Linked DNA regions of Arabidopsis thaliana. The protein of the gene in region 1 interacts with the protein of each later gene in a biochemical or structural test. Each region holds a gene or a part of one and is shown on either strand. Other genes may lie near its edges.

Region 1 (6,875 bases):
CAAATGTACAATGATTAATGATATGGTTTTCAGAGTGTACCTTGTAAGGGTGGTAAAAAAACCTAGGAACGTCGATTTCTATAAAGAGAAAAAGGAGAGTGAATTATGTTTCATTCAAAGCCATTCTTCAAACCATTTGAAATATAACATTGAGCAATGAAAGTTACCTGAGACAGTAGCAACCGCAACTCTCTCAAAAATATGATTGCCACTATAGCTGTTGAACATAAGAACACGGTAACAGATAAGCGTCACTAAACATGCTTTACATCTATACTCAACCGGAGAATGTCGGAAAGCCTCAAAAATCAGATTAGTGAAAAATTAATTTGTTGACTAAACTCAAAATCTAGGATTCAACAAGTATCTATTGGAACAAGACTCATTTCTAGACAAATCAATAATGCAACTTAAACTAATTCATTCATGGTTAGCTAATATGCATATCAGAGGGGTTATCAAAGCCGTTCCTAATCAAAGCACAATTCTGGTTGTTAAAACTAGATTTCAGTAACTGGGGCTAGCTTTTGTGAATGATATGAGAAAGGGTTAATACAGATTGAAAAACTTTACTAACCCATCTGTCCTTTTAAGAACTTTGTAGATGACTCTCCTTTCCTATGAGACTTTAGACTTGCCAGGCTCAGTGCAAAAAGGGCTCCACCAAGAATGACTCCAAACCTGATGGCCGGAATGCTTCCCGATACCATGAAGTTAATAAAACCACCCACAAGCAAGAGTAGACCTGTAAAGTATACAAACATTGTTATCCCGTTACTCACGAACAATGAAAGCTTACAAAAGATGAACAAGATATACAACATGTTTACCATAAGGTATTCCAACATGAAAATCATTCGCTCGGGACACATTTTTCAGATCCTCAGTGGAGGCAAATGCTTCAACAATCTCTTTCACATCTGATGGAGATTCTTCTGCTGCTTTCAAAATATATTCTCTACCCTCTTCACTAACCACTTTCGCTTTAGTACCCAACTCTTCTTTCGCCTTTTCCGCTTGAATCCTAAGTTGTTCAGAAGTTTCTTTCAAGACCGTCATCGCCTTTTGGGAGTTAACGGAGTATGCCTCCGATGACACACTCTGCATCTTTGATACCTGCTCTTTAAAAGACTCAAGAGTTTGTTTCCATGCTTCCTTAGATGTATCATCTTCAACATCTATATCACTCTTCTCCTTCCCCACCTCAACACCTGATTCTCCCTATTTGAACAATGGCGATAAAGGGTAATAATCAAAACATGTTCTTTAGCTAATCACAGATCATTTGATAATTTCAAACCCCAAATTGCACCTCACTTGAAATTGGCAGATTATATTGCTTAATCAAATAAATTTCACCAAAGTCCAATTTTTTTCTAGCCTCAAGCAATTTACAAGATAAAGCATCTGAATTTCGAGATACCCAACAGAGAAATTAGAAGTTTTGAGCACAACCACACTACTCACCGAATCCTCGTGGGATGCAGCGAAAGCAACGACGGATCGATTAAGCAAGACTTCCGGCGAGGTAAAGCCGAAACGTATTCCTGGATACGAAACAACAGCTCGAGGAGCACTGAAATGGCGTCGGCTAGGGAGGAGAGAACGAGGTGGAGCACAGAGCTTCACAGGCGGACGAGAGTGAGCTCTATAGAGCAAGGTGGAATTAGGGTTTCTGATAGACATTAACTCCATTGGGATACTCATCATCGCCTGATCAAAACGTCGCCTTGGTGAGAGAAGTCGTCGGCGAAGAAGAGATTAGAGAATAATAGAGACTTTAAGCTTAGGGATTCCTACAAAAGCTGTGTGTTGTGAGTGCTTCAACTAGGAAGCAAAGAATTTCCGAAGGACTACTACGCAACAACAAAAATATGTTTTTGAAAACGACGCCGTAACATTTGGAAATATATACCTAAGAAAAATATCTCGAAAGTTGAAAAGCGTCTGCGTTAGACCCTCTGAGCGATATAGAGTCTTTCTAAATCCCAAACCGAATTAGACCGGTCGTCTTTATCCGGTTGACTTTAATGAGCTAAAAACCTGACTTTTGTTCTAATAAACCTTGAGTCAACAACTGACTTCAACAATTTTATTGTTTGCAGAAGAAAAGTATCACTTTGAAACAATGAGATGATAATTATAGACATAGTTACGGAATTTATGTATAGTTCAGGCAAAATTTAGATATTTAAAATTAAAAAGAAATCCATTAAGAGGGGACAATAATACCATCTATCTACCAAATACCAATGGATCGCATCCATATCAATTTATTATGGTTGGGAGAAGCAGAAGTGAAGGCATTTAAAGCAGGATCTACCAAAATTCCATGTAAAGGACGGTAATGACGAAAATGCAGATACACCCAATTTTCCATCGCCAATAATTTTCTTTGAACACGTGTACGTATGTCTCTATAACTAAACTTTGGTTTTTCATGAATTTGGGGTTAAAGAGTTTTTAACACTAATTATGGAACCAATCCATCTTTTTCTCGGTTATCTAAACACGTGTTCAATATTACTACAAACTTGGAGATTATATCCTTTTGTGGAAATAGAAACTTGGAGTTACTTTATTTCCTCTTATAAATTGGTTCCATCACGTCCCCAATTATTGACGAATATTTAGCTTTTCACAAATCCGAAAATTAGTGTGGATTTTGGTCCTCAGATTTCCGTTATTACACAAAATGTTGCCATACTCGATATTGATTAATCAGTTTCATATCGATTAAACTAATGCAAGATTTAATAAGTAAGAATATAGAAAAACTTAAACTTCAAGTACTCTGAAATTTCATATAACGTTGTTGCCTGCGAACATAGTACAGACAAACCCATATAACAAGAACACCACAATAGAAAAAGACAAGAAATTAAAAACTCTAAAAACAAACATTCGAACATCTTATTTAATATTAATCTCATCCATTATATAATAAGGATTCGAAACTTCCGGTAGTAGCATCATCTCACCGTTGCTAGCTCATCACCTCACGCTGCAACCACATATATACAAATTAATATAACACCGTTAATATAACCTTTCGAATATTTAACCCCAAAAAGAAACAAATTATAGCTTAAATATCTGAGAGAGTGAGAGAGATTAACATACGTTTTGCAGTTGGTGCTGGTGCTGATTTTGTAAGGAATATTGACTCCACATGCCTTAGGAATTCCAGCTGCACGGCCAGCGTTGAGACCAGAGCCTAAGGCTCTAGCGGCACCTTGAATGCAATTGCAAGCTTGCTGACGGTCTGGGGTCGTCTTGGCTATGCTGTTGAGGTTTTTAACGCCGGAGCAACACGCTGGGGGAATGACACCACCTTGGAGCACGTAGCCAATGCACGCTGCCAAGTTGCTGTTAACTGAGCCACAGCTTAGCGCAGCGTTCGATGTGATTGGACCGGCCACAATCATGCAGGCCAAGAGCAAGCATGCCAACTTCATCACTCCAGCCATATTGATCTCTTAGGTAGTGTTTTATGTTCGTTTGCAATAGGAGATGTGTGTAGTGATGGATGATGAAGAGAGTTTGGGGAGTGAGTGTTATATAGAGTAGGTACGTATATGTTATGTGGTGTGAATGCGATAGATTATAGAGGGAAGGAGTAGTTGGTGGTTGTACTCATTTAATTTAGAGGTTCCTAATTCCTAACTATGTATAGGACCACTCATCTCTTTTGTTTGACATGTTAATTCAACTTTATCGTATGGAAAGTTATAATTCGACCAAAATACATTTTATTAACGTATTTGTAGTGTGACAGTGCCTACGTCCTTCTTTGCATTTTCATTGTTTGTTTTTGTAATTGTTTCAAAATTATAGGTGTGTAGATAGGAACATAGTTAGTTTACTTCTTTTTAAAAAAAATTAAAATCTCGTTTATCTAACATGAAAACTGCTTTACAAAAAGACCTGATGAAAAGTGATTATTTTACCAAAAAAATACATTTTACTAACGTACTCTCATGTTTTTTTCTGAATTTTTATAGTTTTGTTTATTTATGTATTTCGAAGACTTAAGTCTAGTTGAGAAATAGTTATTTTACAAACTATAGATGTGCTATATATTCTAATCGTCTAGTTTATCTTAACAACATATTATTCATATATATATTTGCATGTGTTTATCTTTTACATGACTCTAATAAGAATCATGCTATCCATTGTCAATAATATTTTCGACACGTGTACGTGTATAAGTTAACTTTGTTTTTTTTACAAAAGTCATTTAAATAAAACTGTTGTTAAGAGTTAGTACTAAGAAATCATTCTATCTTTATTTCGGTTATCTATTTTATTTCCTGTTATAAAATTATTTGAACGAATTCGTTTCTCTTCGGTATCATGCAAAGGGTAATTAATTTATTTTAAAAACTGTGTGTTGATGAGAGATTAACAATAAGATTATGATTGTTTGGATATAATGATAAAGATTTAAAACTTAGACATTTTTATTGATCTTAATTATAATAGCAAAAAAAAAGTAAATAACTTACATTTGGAAAGTCATGTTTTCGAATATACTGATCAACTAGTATTAGTAGATATCTGACTTTTATCATTATATAGTCCAAAAACTAGTGTGGACTTTGGTTTTGAGATTCCCGATATCAAACAAAAACAAAATGTTGTTTACTTGATACTTCCCAACTGTAATGCAAGTTAATCATTTTGGTCATATCGATTAAACTAAAGTAAGTGTTAGTATAGATATAGAGTATAGAATAACTTAAACTTCAAGTCTGAAATTCAAAGAACGTTGTTTGCGAACATAGTACAGACGATCACATAATAGAAACGCCACGATAAAAAAAGACAGGAAATTGAAAAGAGTACAGCCATTCGAACATCTTTATTTAATATTATCTCATCGATTATATAATATTCGAAACATCCGCTAGTAGCTTCATTTGACCGTCGCTCATCACCTCACGCTGCATTCACATACAAATTAACATAACAACGTTAATATAAGTTTCCAATATTTAACAAAATAAACTAAAAAATTTATAACATATACTTATAAGAGTGAAAAGATCACATACGTGTTGCAGTTGGTGCTGGCGCTGATTTTGTAAGGAATATTGACTTTGCATGCGCTAGGAAGTCCAGCTGCACGGGCAGTGTTGAGACCGGGACCAACGGCTTTAGCGGCAGATTGAAGGCAACGGCAAGCTTGCTGACGGTCTGGGGTTGTACTGGCCATGTTTTTAAGGTTAGTAACGCCGTTGCAGCACCCTTGGGTAAGTGGAGCACCTCGGGTCAAGTAGGCAATGCACCCTGCCAGGTTGCCGTTGACGGTGCCACAACTCATAAGCGCGTTCGCTGTGATTGGACCGGCCACAATCATGCAAGCCAAGACCATGCATGCCAACTTCATCACTCCAGCCATATTGATCTCTTAGTTAGTGTTTTACGTTGGTTTGCAAGAGGAGATGTGATGGATGATGAAGAGTGTTAGGGGAGTGAGAGTTTATATAGAGTAGGAAAGTACATCTTATGTAATGTGAATGCAATACCTAAATACTACTATGAGGGAAGGAGTAGTTGGTCGCTGTACTCATTTAATGTAGACCCATACGAATTTTAAAATTGGAATGTCACTAAAATATCGTCAATTTAACTAAAAAAGGCTGTTTTAGATAATAACGAGTGTGCAGACAATAATCTTTGGATTCTAAATTTAACGAAGAAGATAAGTCTATCTGTGACGTCTGGAAATCCCAATCCGACGGTGTGAATCTTTAACGAAAGCCTGAAACCCCAACGTGACTTTATGTGGACTACTACTAGCTTGAACAAACATTTGGAGATGTTAAAAAATTTCGAAGTAGAGATTTATCGTTTATGAATATCTTTAATTGTAAGATGAAAACAACGTTGTATAAGTTTTTTTTATCACTAATACTAGTACTTATCATTGTATTAGTTTTTTTTAATAATAAATTTCAGTGGATATACACAATATTATGTCGGTTTGTCCTGCCCTCCACAGGCCACGCCATAGATTGTATGTAGATGGTTCGTCATTATGTGAAAATTTGACTGATACACATAATAAATACTGAATGCATGACACATGGGTAGGATGGGGTCATTGTCGGTTTCGGCCTGAAATGTACAATTATTGGCTTTTGCTTTGCAAAACCATCACTCCATCGTCCCATAACTACTATAGTACTATTTCTAGTCTTATTTTGGTAAAACTAGGTGTTGTGTGTTTTTTATTGGTATGATGAGTCACTAGACTTTTCTTTGGTAAAATTTTACTTTATCTGTAGTTGGAGATCGAGAGTCAATGGTTGAGATGATCGTCGAACAATATAAAAATCATAAAGATTGTAGAAAGATTTAAAATATTAACATATATTAGTTTTAGTAATATTTATATATATTATTTACATTTATTTTTATTTTAGATTAGGAAATCTCATAATATATATATATATATATATATAAGAGAGAATATATCTTATAAAGTTATTTTTATGAGAATCTATTATAATTCTTTATTCTCATCCAACTTATCAAGTTATGTAGTAAAGGTGTTTTATAAGAACTAAAAAGTGTCAAGAAACACAATTAAACATGGAACGATCGACCATATTTTCTTGTAATAACAGACTTTTACAAATACATTTTTTATTTTATTTTCAACTGGTGTTTTTCCGGTCCGGTGATGTGTTTAAATGTCGTCTATTTGGCTAAAGAACACGTCGTCAAAATAAGCTTTTAAAAGTTTCATTCATGTTTAATCATTTTCTGTTTAAGAAGAACAGAAAAATCGTATTTACTGTTTAAAATTTTTGTCGGTGTCTGAAAGGCTACATGATTATATACTTTTCCCTTATTTTCGGTAA
Region 2 (5,709 bases), on another chromosome or scaffold:
AAAAGTTATTGAGAAGAGAGACTTACTTTTCTAGATACTCTTACGGTGGTTACAAAGATTAAACTATTTTGGTAGTGAATATGTGTCATATATATATAAAGATAAATATTTACATTATGTAATATTCTAGTTGGAATGATTAGAAGTTTGAAAGAGTATTTATTTTTCTTAAATGGATATTATTGTTTAGAAATGGGTATATACGTTATTCTGATTGGGAATTTTTGTAGGGTTTTTTAAACGTCTAGATTATAAATGAGTTAGTTAAGTTATAATCGTGCGTATTTGATTTATTGTGGATTTATTTACTCATTTTTAATACCACATGATGGGTTGTAAGTTTCTAAACATTCATACTTTAAAAGCATCTTCAATGGTAGTTTTTAATCCTAAGTCTCTTAAAAAAAATAAAGTGTAAGTATAAATAAATAATATTTTTAATTATGGGTTTCTTAAATTTGGTGAAAGTAAGACAAATTATCTCTTAACTAAGAGACAATTGGCCTATATTTCATCAAATTTAAGAGACTCATGTAATATTTAAATCATATATATTTTTTATTATTTATTAAAAAACATTTTTAGAAACCCCCATTGAAGGTGTTCTAAGGCTCTGGAGCGTCCATTCTTCCGCTAATAACTTGAATAAAGTAATACAGTTATTAATTCTAAATGAGGTAAATTTTGTTCCTAAATAAACATGACATACTGATCGAATATATATTTTATATATAATTTGTGTTACACTCCATACTAACAAAACAATACATTTTCTTTTAATTGTGGATACAATGTGTTTGAGTTTTTTTTTGGTCTTTTTTTATAATTACTTCTGATATTACAATACTAACAGGTAACTTTTTAGTTATGACGTAAGATAATTGTTTGTTTTTAAGAACTTATATCAAATGGCGTAATTTTTTTGACAATAGTATAGTGCATAGTTGTTCCCACATTAACTTAATTTTTTTATAGTTTAAATATGAGTTGTAATGTGTGTGGATAATGCAAGTATAAATTACTGTGACGCCACGAAGGCTATTGTATTACCAGTGCAACATAGTGAAGGAATGATGAAAGAATACTATTGTATTTATTTTTGTAAGATCATTCCTTCTTGGAAAATACTATTGTATTTTTCAACAAGTGATGAAGGAATGAAGCAACGAATTAAGGAATTCTGTTTAGAAAGATGAGAAGATAGATATATGATGAGTGTGATATGAGATTTATGTTAGAAAAATAAATTGATATGTTAGTCATTGGACAATTATACCTTCTCATCTAGCAGGAAGAGTGAGTTTTCAAGGAATACATCACGGTCGTTGGCAGAACGTATTTCCGGTATGAACTTCCCACATTCTAACAATACGGCCAATTCTGTTACCACAACATTCGAATTTTTCTAATACATGTTGAGAAAAATATTATGAAAACATTATGGTAATATACCGTAAAAATTCCCAAAAATGTACTCATCATATTCTCTACCCAAATGCCTAAAAAAATAAAAGAAGATATATTAAATTAAAAAATATAGAAAGAGTGATGGTTGAAGTTCTGACTTATGATAGGTTCATATGTTGAATTAATTACTAATTATGTATTACTTATTTTAAGAAGTGTAGGTGGCAACCTCTCCTTTCATGTGCTGATGTGTAATATTGTGGGAGAGAGTTGAGCTCCTGTCATATATATGATTTCTCACACTTTTTGGGAAATAATGTCTTAATATAAATTTAAATAGATCGAATACTTAATTATATAGTCTAAGTATAAATAACAAGTTACTAAAAATATGAATGTATTGTTCAAAATCTTAATTTAAAACTTGTCTTGAAATTTACTACTTCACGACAATTTATGGTGGCCAATGGCATAATACCAACCTCGTGTTTTTACATGTGTCATTTTCCTATTAGTCCAACATCAATTTTCAACTTGGTATCCAAATAAATAATACACTAAAGCACTTTATACTAAAACTAATTGACAAAAGAAAAGCACTTTATACTTAAAACTAAATTTTCAGCGACCTCTGTTTGTCGTATGAAAATTAAAAGTTTGATTAGACACAAATTTGGAAGTGATTGCCCGCGAATCATTTTCTTTGTGGCTAACGTACACACGTATAGAGACGTACAGTTCAGACGAGTGGCTCAAATGATTAAAACAGTAAATCAGAAAGAGAACATTTTAATATAACTATAATTTTAACTAGTACTTAATTTTTTCAGCTTAAAGCCATATTTTTCATCTCTATTTCTTATCTTCTTCTTTTTTTGTAAAACCAAAAAAGCAACAAAATGTGGGTAAAAAGTAAAAACCCAACCCATCGGTTTCAATCCAACTTACTTGATTTTCCATTACACACAAAAGTCACAAACCAGAAAATCAAAAGAACGAAAAACAAATTATGTCTGTTTAAAAGCATATCTCCACCAATCATGCAAATGTTTTTGGTTAAACTCCTAGAAGCATAAAAAGGTCATCATCATCATCATCATCACCTTTATCAAATCACTTAGCCATCATAATCTTGACAAACTCTTCATAGTTAATCTGACCATCTCCATCAACATCAGCCTCACGGATCATCTCTTCCACTTCTTCATCAGTTAGCTTCTCACCAAGATTGGTCATCACATGGCGTAGCTCAGCAGCGGAGATGAAACCGTTCTGGTCTTTGTCGAAAACCCTGAAGGCTTCTTTTAGCTCTTCCTCGGAGTCAGTGTCTTTCATCTTCTTAGCCATCAGGTTCAGGAACTCGGGGAAGTCGATAGTGCCGTTTCCATCTGCATCAACCTCGTTGATCATGTCTTGGAGCTCAGCCTCTGTTGGGTTTTGTCCTAGTGAACGCATAACTGTTCCCAGCTCTTTTGTTGTGATGCAACCTGTGTAACCACAATTAAGAGAGCATTACATTTTAGAACCCATCACATATTATACTCAAATGCTCAATGGAAGCAATGATAAAGCAGTTTTGTCATGGGTAAAAGCAATGATAGATGCAAAAGCGAATGAACATCTTTTGCTTATCTCTTAAAGAGTGAACAAACAAATCTACACAAATTGAGCTACTATAAGCAGGATATAACCATGAGACAATTCAGGAGTAGTTTCCAAACAATTTGATAATCTTTTGAAATCAAATCCTAGATCAGAGAGAACAAACACTACATCAACTAGTATAACAAACAACTCAGAAATCAAGAGAAAATCTGAGCAACATGACCTTGAAACCTACCTAGAGAGATCAAGAAGAACCATCAAAGCTTCTAAAAGATTCGAAATCACATTTAAGCACATAGTTTTTTCCCATTCTTTGGTAGAATTGTTGAGAACACAAAAAAAAACTCAGATAATTAACAACTTCGAAGAAAAAAAGATAGCAGATTCTTTATCAACTAAGAGCAAACTCGAAAACACATACGACCAAAACAATCATGGAAGATGAAAAATCAAACAAAACGTAAGAGACGAAAAAATAAATCAGATCCAAGCTAGCAAATCAACGAAACAGGACAACAAGCAAGCTATTAAATCGATTCAATCATATACAAAAAGCCATCGAAGATCAAAAAGCGAAACTACTCGGTCAAAGATCAAAAACAGATCAAACGACAAGGTCAATACCTCCGAATCTAAAGAGATTAGCGACTAATAAACACATATTCAAAGCTCGGGAGGACGAGATACACCGTTCTAAATCATCGATAGAAGACGAAAATGGAAAAAAAACCGAGATCCAGTAATGTAACCATCAAAGGCGTAAAAGAAGAGGTAATCTAACCATCGCCATCTTTGTCGAAGAGGCTAAAAGCTTCCTTGAATTCGGAGATCTGTTCGTCAGTGAGTTGATCCGCCATAGCTTCTTCGAGAAATCGTCTTTCTTCTCTTCCTTTGTCTTTACTTAATGAGTTTTTTTTTTTTTTGGATTCAGAGTCGTCTCTCTTTGAAAATGATGCAAACAAATATCTAAGCAAAACGACAAAAAGAAGGAGAAAAGGTAAGTCGGAAAAATTCCAAACAAAAACCCAATTAATTTTTAATTTTTAGAAGAAAATACATATATTAATAAAAGTGTATAATTTAATACCAAAATAATTAAAATATTATTACTTTTATATTTACTACTTTAATAAACTATGAATTTTTCGTTGATATGACATTAATTTTATTTATTTTTTAAAAATTACTTTTAGTAATATTTTGTTTCTATATTATAAAAATTATTTTATTTTTAAAATTCACATAAATAAAATGAGCAAAAGAAATCTTAATAAATTTTGAAAAAGATAATGATATTGTGAACCGAAATATTAATAAAAAGTTAGCTGATGTTGATATACACAATGTAACTTAGTTGAGGTATAAAAACGTACCGTTGAGAGGTTGAACTTCACTTTTTTCCGGAAGATGAATATTCGGATTATTTTAACTACAACATAAACCACTTTCTACAAGCGCTCTCACGCCTTTGGCTCACACGATTGTTTTCTAACATCATTTGGCTCACGAAATATGCTTCACAAAGTTTACTTGTGATGATCCATCACAGCAGACAGCAGTCGAGCGTTAAGAGAAAGATTGCATGTCGTACATGTACATCATGTATTCATGTGTGAAAGATGCCAACAGTGGTCGAAACACAATTATCATCAGAAAAATATTACTCGAGCAACAATACTTTTCTATCTACGAGTATGTGCTGCTCACTCTCCATAATATGGAGCTAATATTGATCATAAGGCTTGAGCGAATCACCTATCACCAATACCTAAGATTAGGTGATAATCTTAATTAAGCTATTTGTCTTTGGGCCAGTTCTACACGTATTTGGGTCACTACAAAAGTTTGAATAGCTTGAAATCCTTAATACCATGGAAAATGAGGTTTCTTTTCTTCTTCGCACTACCATCTCTTCGGCATATCTAAAAGATACCTCGTAGGCTCGTATACAACTCTAAGACCAAATTTAATAAATTGTTGGACAAACCTTATTCTAATTTTTGGGTAACACGATTGGAATCAACAAAACCCTATTCTTGATTGTCGAAACTTACGTACTTAATTAATGTAAGAAAGAAAAAAAATATCCAAGTTCATATAGGTTACAAAGAAAATAAAAAAATTCCAACACAAATAAAAATTAAATTTTTAAAATTCATAATAAAAAAAATAAATTTCAAAACTAAAACTAGATAAAAATAAAACAAAACCAAGGAAGAGAGTAATAAGCTTAAAGAGACACAACACAATCCCAACGAGGAAGCTCTTGACAAGGTCAAAGGAACATTCCACCCATACATGAACACATGCTGACGGAGATCTCGAGCATATTTTATCTGCGAGAAGTAGATTCCGTCTTCCCTAGCTTCCCATACGTCTCCATGGTTAACACCAAAAACTTGGTGATGCTTGAAATTAGGTCCTTGCCATAAATGACACCAAAAATAGTCGGAATCATCATCAACTAGCAGATGGTACGATCCTGTTGGATGCAACCTATGGTATACCATATCATGGTTCGTGGATTTGCAATGGATTATGAGATCGTTTTTTTCATGAAGAAAGTTTCTGATCCACACGGAATGTTTGTACGATAAGGCTGTGTTACTCATCATGGTAAGACCAAAGGCGAAAACAAAAAGGAGAATCGATAGACGATTCATTGATATCATCTCTATATGTTGAACTAATGGTCGA

The links. The genes of interacting proteins can lie anywhere in the genome.
Region 2: the proteins of LP1 (region 1) and CAM1 form a complex in vitro, tested with the Arabidopsis thaliana proteins (one study listed by BioGRID).

The regions. Positions count from the first base shown.
Region 1 is NC_003071.7:16,127,013-16,133,887, reverse strand, and holds LP1 (lipid transfer protein 1), read right to left. Parts: upstream 3,599-6,875; 5' UTR 3,471-3,598; coding exon 3,124-3,470; intron 3,005-3,123; coding exon 2,995-3,004; 3' UTR 2,648-2,994; downstream 1-2,647. Other genes in the region: AT2G38550 (Transmembrane proteins 14C), read right to left, coding at 41-78, 168-217, 578-745, 831-1,221, 1,468-1,710; LTP2 (lipid transfer protein 2), read right to left, coding at 4,940-4,949, 5,061-5,407. UniProt on the Arabidopsis thaliana protein: Plant non-specific lipid-transfer proteins transfer phospholipids as well as galactolipids across membranes. May play a role in wax or cutin deposition in the cell walls of expanding epidermal cells and certain secretory tissues.
Region 2 is NC_003076.8:15,002,249-15,007,957, forward strand, and holds CAM1 (calmodulin 1), read right to left. Parts: upstream 3,958-5,709; 5' UTR 3,870-3,957; coding exon 3,794-3,869; exon of another isoform or gene 3,682-3,793; coding exon of another isoform or gene 3,637-3,681; intron 3,177-3,636; coding exon 3,099-3,176; intron 2,895-3,098; coding exon 2,521-2,894; 3' UTR 2,279-2,520; downstream 1-2,278. UniProt on the Arabidopsis thaliana protein: Calmodulin mediates the control of a large number of enzymes, ion channels and other proteins by Ca(2+). Among the enzymes to be stimulated by the calmodulin-Ca(2+) complex are a number of protein kinases and phosphatases.